Linked DNA regions of Caenorhabditis elegans. The protein of the gene in region 2 purifies or fractionates together with the protein of the main gene of each other region. This does not show direct contact. Each region holds a gene or a part of one and is shown on either strand. Other genes may lie near its edges. The genes, in order: egg-5 and mbk-2.

The links.
Region 1: the proteins of mbk-2 (region 2) and egg-5 purify together in Caenorhabditis elegans (affinity purification with western blotting, with the first as the bait; one study listed by BioGRID). This does not show direct contact.

The regions. Positions count from the first base shown.
Region 1 is NC_003279.8:4,168,425-4,173,780, reverse strand, and holds egg-5 (Inactive protein-tyrosine phosphatase egg-5), read left to right. Parts: upstream 1-2,191; 5' UTR 2,192-2,193; coding exon 2,194-2,456; intron 2,457-2,504; coding exon 2,505-3,382; intron 3,383-3,430; coding exon 3,431-4,170; intron 4,171-4,240; coding exon 4,241-4,530; intron 4,531-4,606; coding exon 4,607-4,697; 3' UTR 4,698-4,797; downstream 4,798-5,356. Other genes in the region: R12E2.11 (Orotate phosphoribosyltransferase), read left to right, coding at 158-472, 524-789, 831-933. UniProt on the Caenorhabditis elegans protein: Inactive phosphatase which acts redundantly with egg-4 in the oocyte-to-zygote transition. Required for polarized cortical actin cytoskeleton rearrangement in the oocyte before and after fertilization.
Region 2 is NC_003282.8:13,007,076-13,012,280, reverse strand, and holds the start of mbk-2 (Dual specificity tyrosine-phosphorylation-regulated kinase mbk-2), read right to left. Parts: upstream 3,124-5,205; coding exon 3,052-3,123; intron 2,822-3,051; coding exon 2,766-2,821; intron 2,645-2,765; exon of another isoform or gene 2,624-2,644; intron 1-2,623. UniProt on the Caenorhabditis elegans protein: Required for oocyte-to-zygote transition in which it phosphorylates oocyte proteins, including mei-1, oma-1, oma-2, mex-5, and mex-6, modifying their activity and/or stability following meiosis.

The DNA.
Region 1 (5,356 bases), on a different chromosome or scaffold from region 2:
TTTGTTTTGTTTCATGAATATCACATTTTTATTTATTTATTTTTCTTCCTTCAAATCACGTACCTGGTTCATCTGACCAAGTGATATTTGTTCACTTTTCTATTGAAAGAAAATAACCTGTTTCACATTGATATTCGAAAATTGTTAAAAATTCAGAATGACCGCCGCCACCGCTACCGCCAACGGAAATCACTCAATCGAGGATCCAGTCGTCATGAAAGTCCAGGCCGCTTCACCAATCCAGGAAACTGATTTTTTCGAGAATCTCTATCAAATGGAATGTTTTCGCACTGGGGAGTTCTACCTCAAATCTGGCCAGATGACTCCAATCTACATAGATCTTCGCAGAATAATGAGCTCTCCTCGTGTGCTCCGAATGGCTGCTCAAGCTATGTGTGAGAAAATTGTCGCCTCAAACCTCAAATTCGATTATGTTGTTGGAGTACCATATGCTGCCCTTCCACTTGCTACCGTCAGTTTTCAGAAATAATTCACACTAAAAAATGAGACTCAATGTTTTTAGCTTGTATCTGATATTCTCAATGTGCCGATGCTTATGAAAAGAAAAGAAGCCAAAGCCTACGGAACAAAGCAACTTATCGAAGGAGTCTATCAGCCTGGTGGTACAGTACTTCTTGTCGAAGATGTCGTCACATCAGGTGAATCAATTCGTGAGACAGCAGAAGCAATTCGCAATGAGAATCTGTTGGTCACTGATGCCATAGCTGTTTTGGATAGACAACAGGGAGCAACTGCCAATCTCGCAGAAGATAATCTTAACTTCCTCAGGTGAGGCTTTTTCGTTTTAATTAAAAATCAAATTTTTTCAGCTTTTTGACAATGGAGAAGATCCTCGACGGCCTGATCACGAAAAACGAGATGACCGAGGAACGAAAGCACGAGATTATTGCTCATCTTGCTAAACCTTTCTAAAAATTTCATTGTTGCACCCCATATTCTACCAATTTGTGAACTTGTTTTCTCATTTTCATAATATTCCAATAAACTTCCTTGTTAGCACACATGCATCGCATCACATAAAACAAGAAAATTGATGGACCAATTTAAAAAATGGAAAAAAGGTTTCATTAAATTTTTGTTTAGCGTTTTATGTGATGTTTTGTGTGTTTATATTTTCTTCTCATCACTTTCTACCATGTTTGCTGAATAATTTTCATTATTTTTTGGCTTGTTGATTCCTTCCCAAGTTGTGATATATCCTGGTTTAATTCTTCTTCCGCATGTCTTAATAATTTTTTTTTTTGGAATTTAGCTAAAGCATAATCAAATCTTCTCATGTTCTTTCCCTGAAACGATTTCAAGTGAATAAAACCTTTTCCAAATAGTGTTCACAAAGGATAAAACTCGCACCATCTATCATAGCTCAACAGTTCTCGCTAAGAATTGCAAGTCAGTCATTAATGCACATAAAACTTAATAAACTTTTAAAATCGGATTCAATTATTTTGCTCTACCGGATGACCCCAGCAGAGCGGTTCCAAAAATTAAAGTCGTTTGACACTTTCTTTCGAAAGGTCAGAACTCCAGCGTACCTTGAGTAACTGGGTTAAAACCGAAGATACCAACGAGTCCTCTCCTCTTACCCAAACGTGTGTACCGACACATTTCGAGGCAAGCGAGAAGCGACGAGTGTGTGTTGTCGAGGAGACGGAGACTGCGAAACAGCAGTGGTTGATGGTGCAGTGGGGAATAAGGGAGGCACAGCAGGACACTGGTTCGATCCCCACGAAGTGCATAATCAGATTTTCCGTATATTGAATATTTATAAACAATTTTTAAAAAATCTATTTTTAATTAAACATGCGTTTTCCGTTATAATGTGCGATTAAGTAAAGAAAAGTACGGTATGCAAAAAAAAAGTACGCAAATACACACATTATCTGCTACCGTACCTTTGTTCTACAATTTGTTCTACATTCTTGGGAGAGCGCGAAATTTTGTATTTTGTCCGCTCAGCGAAATGATTGCACTTGTTTTCTGGAAACTTCCGAAATTTTTTCTTTCTTTGTTCTCCTAAAACTTCGACTTTTTCCGTTCAGTTGTTTAAACAGTATTTTTCGCAGTTATTTTCTATTAAAAATCCGCGTATTCGTCTAATTTCCATTTTGTGCTCTCCCAAAATCGTTTTTCCTGTCTCTTCTGCCGTTTAATAAGCTTATTTATTTTCCAGGTATGGCGTTGAACAGCGAAGTGATGTTCCGCGAGCAAATCAATGCGATGCGCTCACAAGCTGGCCGGAAGCGAGCGACGTCGCTTCAAAGCTTCTGCTCCGGAAACACCGACGACTCCTCCGCGGATAGCACCGATAACATGGATATGATGGTGGATTATCCTCAACAAAAGGGAGTGAGCTGCATGAGAGCCAGATTCAACAGCGAGAGCACGCTTAGCAAGAGTTTCCGGAAGAAAGTGAAGAAGCTCGCTCAGAAGGACAGGTACTTTGAGATTCTTAAGTATTAGAAAATTAATATTTTATGTTGCAGAAGATCCAAGGAGCGTCTGAACGGAAACTCGGAAGAGGATGCGATTGAAGTCCCACGCGGTGCTCCGTCTACTTATGCAGCTCCATCGAAATTGCGGAAATCCAAAGCTCTCGACTGTCTTGTCTCCGAGAAACCAAAGGACGAAGGAAGAAGCGAGGATTCCGGGCATGGAGCCGACATTGAGATGGCAAAGGGACACTTCAACGATGTTCGGATGAAAGTATTTGCCGCCCGAACTGCGATGCAAGTGGAACCAGCGTTGGTCATGAAGACTCGGAAAGCATTGGAGATGAAGAATGCTGTCCTAGAAAATCATCAATCGCCAGGAGCTTTCTCTCTTCATGCAGCCTACAAAATTGCAGCTTCTGCAGAATCCCGTGTTGGATCGATTACTCCATGCAATAAGAAGGTGACAAAGGAAGCAATGGCTAATTTGATTCGTTCAAGTTATGATGACACCGAGATCACTCAAGAGCTGCTTTTCTCTTCAAAGTTCGACTCGAAATGGAAGGGTCGATACACAGACATCTACATGCGTCGGGATGAGAATGGAAAGAAGCCAAAGCGTCCAGTGAACGGTCAAGGATGGGTGATGCCGTTGAAAAGCATCTGTGAGAAGTTCGGAATCAACTCAACTTTCTTCACAAATCATCGCATCGATCTGAAATCCGCAAGAGATCAGGTGCTTCTGATGCGCCTTCTTTCACATGATCAAACCAGCACATGGATTTCGGATATTCATCCAGAAGCCGTCAAGAATGAGACACTGGCTGAATACCTACTTCGTGAACTCGACGCTTCTACGATGCAAAAGCGAGTTCAAGCTTTCAAGGCAAATGTTCTTGCTGACAGAGACCGAGTTCGTGTTGCTGGACAGTGTAAGAAAATAAATAATTATTTTCCTTAATTAATTAACTTTTTTTCAGTCTACAACAACATTCGAATCGGAAAGCGGATGTTTGGAGCAGCGAGAAAAGCGAAGTATCTGTCAACCATCATCGGAGGAATGGAGCGACGCTTTGAAATCCTCGAGAACTCTGTCAACCACATCCCATTCACTCACTCAGCTTCAGACAACAACCAGGAAAAGTGCCGTAATCCACGTGTTCACTGCAGGGATTCCACTCGAATCGCTCTCCAATTCCCACGCGGTCAGTATCTCGGAGATTTCATTCACGCAAATCGGATTTCTGGAAAGCCGCTGTTCAATGAGTTCATCATGACTCAAGCTCCAATGAAGAACACCGTTGATGATTTTTGGAGAATGGTTTGGCAGGAGGAAGTTCCATACATTGTGATGCTAACCAGCAGAAAGGAACCGGAAAGATGTGAATATTACTGGCCAAAATCTCCGTCGGATCCCGCCGTTACTGTTCCTGGTGGACTTCGAATCGAGAACTTTGGTGTCTATCAAGCTCCAGACCCATTGTTCCGTGTCACTCATCTTCGTCTCATTGGACCGGATCGCGAGGAACGTCACGTGGAACATTGGCAAGGAGACGTGAACAATTCATCGAATATGTACTCTCCATTAAATATTCTTCGTTTACTTCGCAACGCGTCGAAGCCAGTCGTTATCCATGATCATTTGGGAGTTTCTAGAGCGGCTTGTCTTGTTGCTGCCGAGATTGCCATTTGCAGTTTGCTCCGAGGGCCAACTTACAAGGTTTGTATCAGAATTTAGTGACTTTTTAAGTTGGAAATGGTGAAATCAATTCAATTAAACACATTTTCAGTACCCAGTACAACGAGCTGTCCAATTTCTTCGTCAGCGCCGTCCATTCAGCATCGAGACTCCCATGCAGTACATCTTTGTGCATCGTCTTGTTGCATTCTTCTTCCGTGACGTCATTGGAAGTGCAAAGGAGTTGGATGTCGATTATGAAAGATGGCTCCAAGAACGATCCGAACGCATGTTCCTTGATGATCTTGCTGCTCCAATTCCTGGCTATCGTTTGCTGTCTCCAAGAGCAGATCCAGACATTGTTCGAATGGTTGGAAGACCTGAAAGACCAAACTACAGACGGTATGTTTTATTTTACATATTAAAAAAATTATTCAAATTGAATTAATTCTCTTTCTAAAAATGTTTTATTTTTCAGTGAGGCACCCGATTGTGTTGGAGAGATGCCGAACAAGGTGGCGGCTGTCGACGGGATCCTTTCACCAGCGAAGAGCGTCTTCGAATTCTAATTTTCATGTATACTAAACCCCCACACTCACTATTATTATTTTTATTTATAACATTCTGTGAAATATTGCATGATACTGTATAAAATGCATTTTAACTGTCAGCTAATGTTTTCGAATTCAACACCTAATTGGCAAGCTGAAACGAAAAATCGGAATCGGCAAAAAATAAAAAAATAGTGACTTCACAATGAAGGGGAATTGTCGGAATCCTGATGACAACAATAACGATTAAAAATGTTTTAATTTATCAGTTTATAGAGGAGAATATTTTGGCGAGGGAAAATTTAGAGACTGCGTTTCGGATTGCAAGATATACTTGCGAAAATTCTGAAAGAGCACAAAATTTGCAACGAAATGGCTACAGGGATTTTTGAAAAATTTAATTTGGAGTCAGATATGAATTTTCAAAGTTAGAAAAATCTACTAATTTCTGGAATTGAAAAAAATTTTGATTTAAAATTCAGAAAGAGCTTGAAATTTGACACAAGTCCCCGAAGAAACATTCTGAAAAAAGTTAATTTTAAGTGAGTTATGAATTTTCAAAGTTATGAAAACCGGATAAATATCCTAAAAAATGATTGGTTATGGTGCATCTAAATAAGTTCGGTCAAACATATGCCTAAAAATTCAGTTTTTTGATTCAACTCAAAGCTTCTGAA
Region 2 (5,205 bases):
GAGGAGGACTTATAAGCTTATGCAATTTGATCAAAAGTGCTAAACTTGGCTGAAATTTCAGAATCAAGCAGGTTTGTAGTTGTTTTGTAGAACTAATTTTTGCAAATATTAAAAATTTTAATTTGAAAAAGTTAGATCGTTTCGGATCAAAAAAAATTTCTCCGAAATTTGTTAGTAAGTCAAAAACTAATAATTAAAACTGAGAATTAAAAAAAATTACAGTAAACTTTTTGATTTACAACTATTATAAAACCGTAGTTTAAAAATTGCAAACTGTGACATCTCGGAGAAAAGCCAAAAAAAAAATTGCAAAAACTGTATGTTTTTACAGCTCCAACCATTTTGGCAATAAATAGGACAAGTATTTATTTTTACTGAAAAACTGGAAATTTGGTCATTCACAATAGGAAGTAATTTCTAAAACTACAGAAAGTGCTAAACAACACACAAAGCCAGCTAGCGGAGGATCGTTGCGAGTTGACCAGGTAGATCAAAAACAAAAAAAAATTGTACATACATCTCAAGAATCTGTAGATCACTGTATACAATCATAAAAGGTATGGAAAGCCTCTCCTAACGACTAATGAAAAAGGGAATCCCTGTGAGAGAGGCGAAGAACGATGAAGAATAGAAAAGACGGGTTTTTTACGAGTTGTTTCCATCATGGCCCGGCGTGTGTGTTGCCTCGGTTGGTTTGATTACGATGCCTCATTTTCCCGACCGCAAGGTCCTCCTAGTCTCCACCATACAGGTAAAGAAAACAGAAAACACTACCGAATTAGTACTTGTAATTAAAATAAAAATGTGTGTGTGTGGGGATAGATAGGGGAACGCGAGAACCTTATCTGGGGGAGGGTGGGGAAAGCGGGACTGAAGACTAACACAAGTGATACAGAGAGACAAAGATCGGAAAGATTCGGTGCGGATTTTTGATGACCAACATTTGATACGGTACTTTTGTGAGGAACGCTTTTTTTTGGAAAAAAATATCGTAGTTTTCTGAAAACTTCAGCACAAGGTTTGGCGAATTGGCAAAATTTTTTGCAAACTTTGAATTTTTCAAACAGAACCTTCACAATGTTTAAAAAAATTAAAACTGAAAATTTGTAGAAAAACCCTTTCTTGGTCAATTTCTTGATGTATGGAAATTCAGGAAAAATAGTTTTCTGCAACATTTGTATCACAACGAACAAAATAAAATTTTTGCACATTTGCTCTTAGGCTTGCGAATTTTTCTTTTAACTAAATCTAACAAGATCAAAAAGTTCCATAATTATTTCGTTCAAGTGAACAAATCTCTTGACACTTAAAAATCTCTAAAATCAACCTGTTTTCAAGAAACCATAAAATGTTCGTTTTCTGTAAATTGTCTACTTTCAAGTACAATCTATCTCATTTTTCCTCTTCTCACACACATTGAAATCGTACTTCGAAGAACAATCAGAAAACGTCTTGAAATTGGATAGGGTTAAGGGGGCAAGCACAAAAGGAGTCATTAAAGTTCCATTTTCAAAAAGTGGAGGAAAAAACTTCTGATGAGAACATCATGACGTGCAACTAAATTCTCCCTTCCCGGATATTTTCCTATCATTTTTCTTCGAAGAGAGGGTAAAGGGAGAAAAAGGCCAAGGGAACACTGATTGACTCTTTGAGCATTTTTACACTTTGTGTGTCTCGTTTAAAATGTTGTTACATTCAAAATTGTGAGAAATCGACGAGAGATAGGATTTGAAAAATTGTTCAATTGAAGCATAAGTTTCTACTGAAAAGTCGCTTAAAATTGCAAGTGGCTGAGGAAGTGATTTGATTTTTTTAAAATTTTTTTTAACCAAAAAAATACCGACCTCTACGTCTACTATAAAATATGCGTAAACTTACATGAGGTGAACACTAAAGGCCAGAGTTCAACTTAAAATAAAGGAAATCAGCAAACAGTAGGCAGGCAGGCAGGCATAAGGATATACCTACCAACAATTTAACAATTTACATTACTCCCTTTCTATTGTGACTAGACAACGGGGCCGCCTTACTCAAACGCCAATGCCAATAAACTACGTTAGCTTAGGTCTAACTGTTTTGTTTTAGAGTATGTAAGCTTCAAGGTATTCTAAAACAGCTGTTTTCAGAAAATGAATGTTTTGAAACTATTAAAGTGGGAGAAAAACAAAATTTTTAACAAAAATGTATTGAATCCTGATTAAAATTGCAAAATCAAACAGGTCTGAATCAAAAAAGAAATGATTGACTGTGAATCTAATTGTGAAATCGCTGGTATACCATTCTTGGGTACTCTTGATGACAAATACTCCCCCCACTCCTCCTTTTTATTGAAAAGAAAACACCTCTTCATTGAATGAGAAGGGTTCTCGATCTCAATTTTCATTGATTTTTTTCCTTGTTCCGCCTTTAGATTTCTATTACAATAATACATTGTGATTTTCAAAACATGTTCCAATTTCCAACTAATTAGGCCCTTTACACCAGCTTTTCAACTAATCAGGTTAAGCATAAATGGACAAAAAACATCAAAAAGTTTTCTCAAGGACCCCACAGGGTGTAAAGTTTAATGGGATCCATATGGTGGTCAATGGGGGGGGGCTTTCAAGGAAAATAAATGACCGTCTGCTGCAGGCACGACTTTTGAATATTTCTAGAAATTTCCTTAAGAACTTCAAAGTAATTCGAAATTGCAATATTTTAAACTACATACGTTTAGTGGGAAAATTGAAGAAAAAATTTGAAGAGAAAAAGAATCAAAAGCTCACTGTGAAACTGATCTTCCTTGTGCATCCAGACTCATTACACTGCGATCTCGCTGACCCTGAAATGATTTTTTTTGAATTTTAGGAGCAATTTGTTTAGAATTTTATAATCCTAGTAGAACTATAATAACTAGTAATATCAAAAATGAACATTTAAGAAATCACACAAAAGTTCAGAAAAAAGTCAATATCTTTACTTTTTCAGAGGAGAAATTTAAAAATTTTCAAACTCCATTTCAATTTGAAACTATAATTACATGCACTACTAATAGAGGTATAGCACACCCACCTGTTGTGTAACATCAATCGGTTGTTGCCCGTAACTTCGACTGTTACGTGTGAACGAGGCAAGAGCAGCCATGCTTCAACTACTCTAGACTGCTGCAAGTTTGGGAGAGAATTCCTAAAAATTTTTTGTACTTTTTAATACAATTTGTGGTAGGGGGTAATAAGAGAGTTGACGACGAGTAGAGGGTAATCGGATCAAATACATTTTGTTATCAATGGGAGAAACACCTCACCGAACGTGGGGACAAGTTGGAGCAGATAAGAAAAAGGGGCAAATGATGTTGGAAGAGTCCGTTTTTCTCCCCCTGTTTCTCTTTTACTCTCTAGGAGGAATCCACCAAATTTTTTTTTTGCAGAAACTTGTGTTGTGTTGCGGGTTTGTGGAAGAGCATATGGGAATTGGAGACATAGAGTACGGAGCAACAAACGTTTTTTGAATGGTACACCTAACGGGGTGGAGAACGATGATAAATTGATAGGCAGGCAGTGGATGCTTGGAACGCATGGAGCAAAACTTTTTAGTGAACTTGCTTTGAAAATACAATATAATATAAAAACAAAATAGCGTGAAACTTATTATTAGTGAACCGAAATACGTTAGATGCACAATGACAACAGTGATAAGAAAACGAGATAACTAGATATTTACGCACTTTTAAAGTTCTTCTCCCCATTTTTACGACTAACAATTGGCTTATCAAGAGTCACGAGAGGAGCATCAGCTGGCACCGACCAAAATGGTTTTTTTTCAACTTCCCCTTGTAAGGGAAATTTCTGAACTTTTCCAAAACTTTCTTCCCATAATCTTTGCGCATTCCAAATGTTTTCAAAGCATGCCTTATGAAAACTTAATGCTAATAGTTTTTGATGTCTGATATAAAATGCAAAAATATGGATATCATATGATCAGCGGCAGGAAATATTAAAAAGGGGAGTCTAGAAATAAACAGGCTGAAATTTAAAAAATAGAAGTTAGGGAAGGCATAGAGGATAGGGACCAAGAATGGATAAGCTCAAGCCTAAACCCAAGCCTAAACCCAAGCCCAAACCCAAGCCTAAACTCAAACTTAAACCCAAGTCTAAACTCAAAGTTAAGCCCAAGCCTAAACCTGAGGCTAAACCTGAGCCTAAACCTGAGCCTAAACCTGAACCTAAACCCAAGCCTAAACCCAAGCCTAAACCCAAGCCTAAACCCAAGCCTAAACCCAAGCTTAAACCCAAGCCTAAACCCAAACTTAAACCCAAGCCTAACCCCAAGCCTCAAGCCTAAATCCAACCCTATCTTGAACCTTAGCCTAACACCAATCATAAACAAAAGCTTAAGCCCATAGCAAATCTAAAATCCTATAGCAACCTAAACCCTAGCCTAAGATTAAACCTGAGAATTCTCTCTTATTGAAGCTTAATTGTGTACAAATAACTTATCTGGCATTGGATTCCTGATTGTGAGACGGTTAACGAAATGTGCAAAAAGTGAGAAGAATTGAAAGTAATAAAATAATTGAACAAAGGCAATTTATTTTTATTTCATACCACGTGGATGACCGTGTAAGTTTATTTTGGGTTTCACGCAAAGTTACTTTTTGAAAAATTTTCCAATTAGCATAGTATGTAGACTCGAGGAAAATTGGCATATTTGCTTGGCAAAAGCAAGCCTAAATGAAAACCAGAGCTTCTGCTAAAATTAACTAAATATGTGGTAGGCAAGCACAAAAAAACTAAACCCAAGCCTGAATCCAATCCTAAACACAAGCCTAAACCCAAGCCTTAACACAAGCCTAACAAAGCCTAAACCGGTTTTACCCTGCCTAAACCGGTTTAACCTTTCACGTAAGTGTTTAAAATTTTTTCTCCAATTTTCAAAATTGAGTTGGTCCGAGGTAAGTAGGCATATTTGCCTGCCAACGAATGACTCGTACCTACCCCCAGCGTACAACAAGGCAGGAATGTAGGCCGTATTTTTTATTAACACATGGATGACTGCGTAAGTTTATTTTATGTTTCACTTAAATAACCTTTAAAATGTGTTTCCTATTAGAAAAATGAAATTAACTCGAGGCAGGTAGGCATATTTGACTGTATCGAGCCTACGGCCTATAAATCACTAGACAAGAACGCCTGAAAACCTTAAATTCTATCACGTGTAAAACCAAAA